2 linked regions of the Mus musculus genome follow. The protein of the gene in region 2 purifies or fractionates together with the protein of the main gene of each other region. This does not show direct contact. Links are inferred from orthologs where the notes say so. Each region holds a gene or a part of one and is shown on either strand. Other genes may lie near its edges.

What was found. Proteins that work in one complex are often made in the same cells at the same time.
Region 1: the proteins of Polr3b (region 2) and Polr2l purify together in Homo sapiens (affinity purification with mass spectrometry; 5 studies listed by BioGRID and IntAct, with this or other methods). This does not show direct contact. The link is inferred for Mus musculus from reciprocal best matches to the Homo sapiens genes POLR3B and POLR2L.

Annotation. Positions count from the first base shown.
Region 1 is NC_000073.6:141,472,223-141,476,364, forward strand, and holds the start of Polr2l (DNA-directed RNA polymerases I, II, and III subunit RPABC5), read right to left. Parts: upstream 2,932-4,142; 5' UTR 2,901-2,931; coding exon 2,806-2,900; intron 1,183-2,805; coding exon 1,074-1,182; 3' UTR 1-1,073. UniProt on the Homo sapiens protein: DNA-dependent RNA polymerase catalyzes the transcription of DNA into RNA using the four ribonucleoside triphosphates as substrates.
Region 2 is NC_000076.6:84,698,658-84,702,302, forward strand, and holds part of Polr3b (DNA-directed RNA polymerase III subunit RPC2), read left to right. Parts: intron 1-741; coding exon 742-884; intron 885-3,645. UniProt on the Homo sapiens protein: Catalytic core component of RNA polymerase III (Pol III), a DNA-dependent RNA polymerase which synthesizes small non-coding RNAs using the four ribonucleoside triphosphates as substrates.

The DNA of each region.
Region 1 (4,142 bases), on a different chromosome or scaffold from region 2:
GAACCCGGGGTACTTGATGCAGATGCCTAGGAGCTAAAGCACTACACCACCTCCTTTGGCCTAGAGTAGGCTTCTTAGGACTACATGCTGTGGGGATTGGGTCAAGGGGCAGGGCTGCCTAGCTGTCGGGCCTGGGAAGATTCTGGAAACAAGATCCTCAGGCATGGGCAGCAGATAGGCTCACACAGCTGATGGGCTTTAGGACCCAAGAAATTCGTGAGGCCTGTGGCCTTGGGCGTACTCCTACAGTATCTGGGTTTGGTTGGGTGGCACAAGCCGTCCTTTAAACTCAACACTCGGGAGGCAGAGACTGATCTCTTTAGTTCAAGGCCAGCCTGGTCTGCAGAGTTGAATTCCAGGATAGTCAAGGCCAAACAGAGAAACCCTGTCTTGGAAAATGAAAGGTAAATAAATCTGGGTTTGATTCCCAATACCTGATGGCAGCTTATACATTCTATAACTTTACTCTCAGGGGATCTGGCCTCTGTGGGGACACAGTGATACAAAGACTTATAAGCAGACCAAATACCCAAATGCATAATAACCCTAGCACAAGGATTGGGACCTCCAAGCACGCTCAGCATTCCAAAGGAATATTGTCACCAGGCTTGGGCCCATCCATACCTGTGGATGGTGTGGTGCCCACATCCATTATGCCCATCCTGAACACAGGCAGGAAGCGGAGAGGCCCTAAAGCAATGTGGTACAAGACTACTGTAGGGCTACCTCGTTGATCAAAGTGGTCAAGGCCCCGGGGAACGGAAGCAGGGTACTCCTCCACAGGACGAGACTCCCAGTCAGATGAAGGGGAAGGAGACCAGCCCTAGGGGAAAGACTGGAGGCAGGCCAGGTAGCCTCAGAGACAGCACAGACATGGACATGGAGCACCTTGGAAGTTAGACCTGTTGGTGGTTCTGCAAACATCTTTACTAAACAGTTCCTTCCAGGGTAACAGGACTTAGCCACAGGGCCACAGCCAGGCAATACACCAACATCCCCAATAGCTCAGTTTGAACATAGCACGACAGGCTGCCCGTGGCCAGCAGGAGACAGAGGAGGGCAGGCTCCAGCGGTCACTTCTCTAGGGGTGCATAGTTCAGCAGCTTCTCAATCAGGTCCACGTGTGCTAGCAGCATGCGGCGGCAGCAGTAGCGCTTTAGGCCCAGAGCGTCCAGGGCATCCCTGTAAAGAGAAGAGTGAGGCTGGATGTGGTCTCTAGAGTCTGGATAGGTTTGGAACCACCTCCAGCTTGCCTCTGGGTATTCGTGTGGATAGGGGTTACCAGAGCACATCTACATAATCAGCGATTGAAACCTGACACCAGGCCATAGGGAAATGGCCTGGAGATTTCTGAAATATGTATCTAGATGCTCAGGGAGGAGCCAGGTGACCCTTTCCCCACCTAGAAGTTACACCTGCTCATGTGCCAGTCTTCTCCCATAGCATCCTGTATCCATCCTTAACAGCCTTCTGCCTACACCTGTTTTTTAAAATTTCGTTTTATGTGTATGGGTGCCTGATGCTCCCAAAGCCCAAAGGAGTTACGGACACTTGCGAGATACCATGTTGCTTCAAGGAACGGAACCTGAGTCCTCTTAAAAAACAATCAAACAACCAAACACACAAAACAGCCAGTGCTCTTAACAGTTGAGCCATCTAGCTGGGTGTGGTGGTGCACACCTTTAATCCCAAGCACTTGGGAGGTAGAGGCAGAGGCAGGTGAATTTCTGAGTTCGAGGCCGGCCTGAGCTACAAAGTGAGTTTCAGGACAGCCAGGGCTACACAGAGAAACCCTGTCTTGAAAAACAAAACAACAACAAAAAAAACAGTTGGGCCATCTCTCTAACCCCCTGTATCTCTGCGTTTGTCTCTTGTACCCAGGGTTATGGGCTTCCAGGGTTATTTGGGAAAGCTTAGGAGACCAATATCCCCTCATCAAGGAGTACAATTCCAGGCCCCACAGGTGGACTCTGACTAAACGCCATGAACTGGTTGTTGCTACCCCACAGGCTTTGAACTCACACTAGATTTAATTTCTCTGGGACCTAGACAGCTTGAGAGGTTCCTGCCCAAGTGAAAGAGGGTCCCAGAAGGCTAGCAGCTACTCATCAGAGCTGATCTAATAGCTGCTCATTAAGCCCCACTGACTTATGGCTTGTGCAGAGAAAGAGAACCCCTTGGTGTTGACATGGTGGCCAGAGGTCTATTTTGGGGGACAGTCATAGTAGTGAGCACAAGACGATGCCCACAAAGCCTGTCCTGCATTTTAAAGGGCCCACGAGGTTCGAAGTACATAAGGGGTAGGTCGGAAAGCAGATAGAGGATAGAGAGTAGGTCGACAGGGAAGAGACTTGAGGTGTCACCCACGGGAAGGATGCTTAGAAGTTTCCCAAAGGCCAGCAACTTGAAGAAAACCACCTTCCAAACTTCTGAGAGCCTGGGCGTGATATTGCACGCCTTTAATCCCAACATCCAGGAGACAGGCAGGATTTCGAAGTGTTTCAGACCAGACTGCTTTACATAGAGAATTCAGGTCAGCCACCGAAATCCTGCCTCGAAAACAAACTAAAGACTCACTCTTCTGGGAATACATCACAGGTCTGGGCTGGAGGACATCCAGTCTTCTCACTAGACCCCACAACCCCTGCCCTGCCAATTCTCCATAGGAAATCTTATCTACCCCCGGCCCAGGACACCTCAATTTCACTCCCGGTCCGCCGCAGAACCCTCCCCATTGCCCCTCGACTTCATGCCCCCAGTCCAGCCTTCCCGTCCTGTCCCATCCCCCGCGGCCCGCCGTCTCACCCCTCCGTGTACTCGGCCTGCAGCAGACCCAGGTAGGCTTCCCATTTGTTGCCGACGATCTTCCCGCAGGTGAAGCAGCGCACCGGGATGATCATGGCGGCGTCTGGCGTGCAGGCTGCCGGCAGTAGCTTTTCAAGGCCCGCCCCAGGCGCGCCCATAGCGCGGGGCTCATTACGCCCTAGCTCCGCCCCGTAAGATCCAGAGCCCCGCCCCGCATCTCCCTGAATCCCGCCGCAGCCCTGCCCCGGCTCCCATGATTACCCTGAAGCGGCGGTGTTCCTTGCTCGTGCCCACCCGGGGCTCCGAGAGCCTCCGAGCCCGCGGCAGCATCCCGGTCCCCCCCCTCCCGCTGTGGTGGTAGATCCCGGCGCTACGGCGTCCGAGCAAGGCCGAAAGGTCCGCGGCCGGCGGTTCGCGTTTCTCGTGTTGCCTTGACTGACAGCTGCTCCGCCGTGCGGCGGCGCGCACAGGTACGGCGGTTCTAGCGGGCTGGGGTCCCGCTGGCCGGATCGCAAGCCGACTGGAGCCAAGAGGTGGTTAACAAGTGGTGGTGGCGCAGCCGGAGAGCGGGCTGCCGACTGTCCACGGCCAAGGCGGTCTTCCCGCCTCCTGGCCCGGACTCCAAGGGGTCTCGGTCTGGAGCCCTTACCCGAGGTGCCCAGGCAGAGTCCGGGCCTTGGAGTTTGGGGCGTCCTTCTCTTCGGCCGCTGCAGAACCGTCGGCGGTACGGTGTCCCGAGCCCCGACGGCGGCCTCCCGCGCTCAGTACAGTCCTCTCCTCTGAGAAGGGTCTTTTCCTGGGGAGAGGAGCAGGGCGGTGGTCCGGGAAGGCGTCATGGAGGAGGCACCCTATGAACAGACCTTCTAACCTCTTTTTCCCGGGATATTTGGCTCAGACGCGGAGATTGCGTGCGAGACTGCTAGTGGCCACAGGTCTGCCTCACCTGGACGTGACTTAAGGACTTAAGGGAATGGGCAAGGAGCTGGTTTCTGGGGAGTGTATCACCTTGGCCGCCTTCTTGTGTGTTGGGAGCTACCCTTAGGAAAACGAGGCAGCTTGCAGTGAGAAGCTGGAGAAGTTCGATAGAGCTTGGGAAGTTTGAGATCTGGTTACAGTGAAGGCTCTGGGGGGTCCTAGACATTTTCCAGGTGCCTCTGGGAAACAAACGATGGAGGGGAGGTCGGGAGGGGTCTCCTGGGTCTTGAGTGTGGCTGGTCGGAGCCACTGGCCAGCTTGGTGGTTGTGCCCCCGATGTCACCCTGGACAGCCTCCCTGGCAGCTTTTGCCATCCCCCATGGAGCCACGTGCAGAGCCACGAGCTAGGCGACTTCCCGGTC
Region 2 (3,645 bases):
GTGACATCTCCTGTTCTAGTCCAGTGGATAGTGTTTCTCTCATCCATGTGGTACCTCTCATGACACCGCAGACAGACCCTCCCCTTGATTTTACTATTAGCACTGCGTTACCATACCCCATCCCCTCCAGTCTAGTTTCCCACAGTCTCCCCTCTTGTGTGGCCTTGTCCTTGTACTGGCTAGTAATGCCTGCCCCTTTCCTGGATATGCTTCCCTACTCGGAGAAGCCTAACCCTCACTCTCTGGCTCTTTACTGATGTGCCCAGAAGGACATCTGCCTGTGGCTGACTCCATGTAAGACCTGAGCCAAACCGTCCAACTCTTGGGAGACTCCTCATGGTGTCTGTTGTATAAAAACTACGAAGCAAGGTGTTTTGAGGACAGCAATAATGTAGTAGGTTGAAGGGCTGTTGCAAAAGTGGTTACGCGCTCCAACCTGAATCTGATCAGCTCTCAAAACTCAGCTCTGCTCTGTGTGACTGTGTGGTCTCTCAGAGCATCGGTTAATGTTGTCTATAATACAGTGATAACCATAAAAATATTACACTATGTCTGCCTCGTAATAAATGTATAAGACTGTAGAAGGAAAATTGTAAAATTTAGATTTAATGTTGGAAATGAGTAACTTTTTAAAGCATGAGAGGAGAATATCAGAGTGTTTTGTGGTAGGATTGAAGAGCGTATGCCATACAGTGACAGCGTGACACAGGACAGTTAGAGGCTGTCTTGTCTTCACATCAGGTACAAAGGTGCGACAGACTCCTACATCGAGAAAGTGATGATCTCTTCCAACGCCGAGGATGCTTTCCTCATCAAGATGCTCCTGAGACAGACGCGGCGCCCAGAGATTGGAGACAAATTCAGCAGTCGCCATGGACAAAAGGGTGAGTGGAACTCCAAGTGTTGCAAGCTGTTTCTCAGATTCCCCTGTTAACATTCACGATTGAGGCCATGACGGTGGGTGTGGTTATCCAGTCATTCACTCATTTCATTTCCTCTGTGCCCAGAATTATACATCGCAGCACCATACCCTTCGAAGTGCATGGGACAAGAATAGTGATTCTTCTTAGGAAAGGCACGTGCTTGAACTATTCTGTGTTCTGTTGGGTCATAGAATCTCGGCGCTAGAAGGTACCTCAGAATTAAATATCCCTTCTTTAACAGATTTGATTACCCTCATTCACTTGCCTGATTATCTAGACGAACAGAATTTGACATGTTAGGAAAATGTCGGTATCCCTTACAAGAATTCACACCGTAAGAGAATGTCCCATTCTGTATGAACCTACACATGTCACATTACTGTCCTGGATAGTTCTATGCCAGCACAAGCTGCAGTCATCTGACAGGACGGGCCCTCAATTGAGGAGATGCCTCCATAAGATCCAGCAGTGAAGTATTTTCTCAGTTAGTGATTGAAATGTAAGCTCCCCTCTGCCCATTGAGGATGCTGCCATCCCTGGACTGGTTCTATAAGAAAGCAGGCTGAGCAAGCCAGTGAGCAGTACCCATCCGTGGCCTCTGCATCAGCTCCTGCCTCCAGGTTCCTGCCCTGTTTGAGTTCCTGTCCTGACTTCCATCAGTGACAAACAGTGATGTGAAAGCAGAAGCCAAATAAACCCTCTCCTCCCCAGCTTGCTTTTTGGTCATGATGTTCATCACAGCAATAGAAACCCCGGCTAAGCTACAGTCCAAGTCCATTTGCTACTGTGTGAAGACTTGGAGACTGATAAGCATGGCAAGCAGAGCTTATCTACTAGGTTCAGTCCCACTGAAGTTACAGAAACACGCCTTTCCAGTCTTACGTGTAGTGAAGCCTTTCTTAGAGCGGATGCTGAATCAGCTCATGGTAAGAGTGTCTGAGTGACCAGGGGAGGGTTGAGGCTCCCTGCAGTTCTCCATGGGTGGGCTGCCTTTGGATTTACCTGGAACACCCTGTGAGTCCACACACAGACAGACAGAGCACCGCTGTCCACATGAACCCTAGTCAGCAAGCGCCATTAGACCGGGGCCTCCGAGTGAAATGTCAGGAAGGCTTTGTGTTGTAGCATTTCCCAAACTGTCAACATGGCAGGGACCAGACTCCCTGGCAGAAGCGCCTTTGGCTCAGTTGTGTGTACAGTGGCCTTAGAGACCCCGTTGGTCTTCGGGCCTCTGACATACATGTTGCTCTGCAAGCTGAAGGGCGTCCTCCCAGGGTGGCTGACCTTTACTTCAGTGAGGACTTTGTCTTCCCAGTTTTCCTTTTCCAGATGCCTTTTAATCCGAGGTAAGACCTCCTGATTAGCCCCCACTCCCTTGACAGTCCTGTCTTATAGTCTTGTCAGATTTATTGAAAAGCCAGGAGGCAAAAAGGGAAGCAGCCAAACAGAAAAATAGGTGACAAAGACTTTAAGAGAGTAGTGAACAACTAGAGCCTTTGGGTGAATATAACTTTACATGCAAGCATGATTTTTATCAGGTAATAAATACACAGTATCTTGTTCCGTGTATTTGTGTTTATGTCTGTATATACAAGCACATCTCTGGCAGTCAGGGGACAGTTTTCAGGGGCCCTGTCCTTCCATCCTGTGCCTTCTGGAGTTCAGACTCAGGTCATCAGACTTGGCAGCCAGCACCTCTGCCTGCTGAGTCATCCCGCCGGCCCACGCACATGATCTGAAAGGTTGGTTTGAAGTGGAGGATTGGGCTGCTGAGATAGTTATGTGGTAGATGACGTCCCTCTGGAGTCCCTGAGCCTACAGCACTGCAAATAGAACAGGAGCCGTGCACTAAAAGGAGACTTGGTTCTCATTTCTCCTCCACCTGTGTCTCCCATAAGCAATCTCGCCCCGTTTATACCATCACCTTTCTAAGTATTCTTAGACATGCTCATTCATTTTACATGCTACTTACTGATTCACACTTAGGTGGATAGGTGGGTTCAGGAACTTACACCTCTCCTCACACCCTACCCACAGTACCCTGCATAAGACTGTTGTGATACTGGGTCATTTAGCTACATAGACAACATTTAATACAAAGTACATAGTCATTAGAGGATGGCTCCTCTGTATGTAAGTTTTTCTCAGTAATAGTTTCCTCTCATCTCTATTTGCTCTTCTGGGCATTACCTATTTGGCTTTATACTGTTCTTGCATACCATCAGCAGATACTTTGTACATCTTTCCTCGGGACCAGTGCTCTATTTAGGGACACACATCTCGCTTTTGGAGCCCCCTTCTTCCTGCTCCAGACTGTGGCATTCACCCTCGGAAGCAGAGCTTCTCAGCAGGATTAGAGCTCAGTGTCTGGTTTGGGAGACAGCTCCACTTATAAGGTACCTGCCGCACAAACAGTGGACCTGAGGTCAGAACCCCAAAACTCATGGGAGAAGAAAAAAAAAACAGAACAAAGCAGGCGTATTAGTGCGCATCATAGTCTCTACACTGAGGAGGGAGAGGAAGGACAAGAGGATCCCTGGGGCGTGCATCAACCAGTTTGACTAAATTGTGGGTTCTACCTTCAGTGAGAAACTCTGACTCAAAAAATATGAGATAAAAACTGAAGACAGCTAATGCTGAGCACACATTCTGGTGAGGTGTGGCTTTAAAATAGTGCTCATGATCCAGCAGAGGCAGAAACTGTCTTATGCCTAGTGCTATT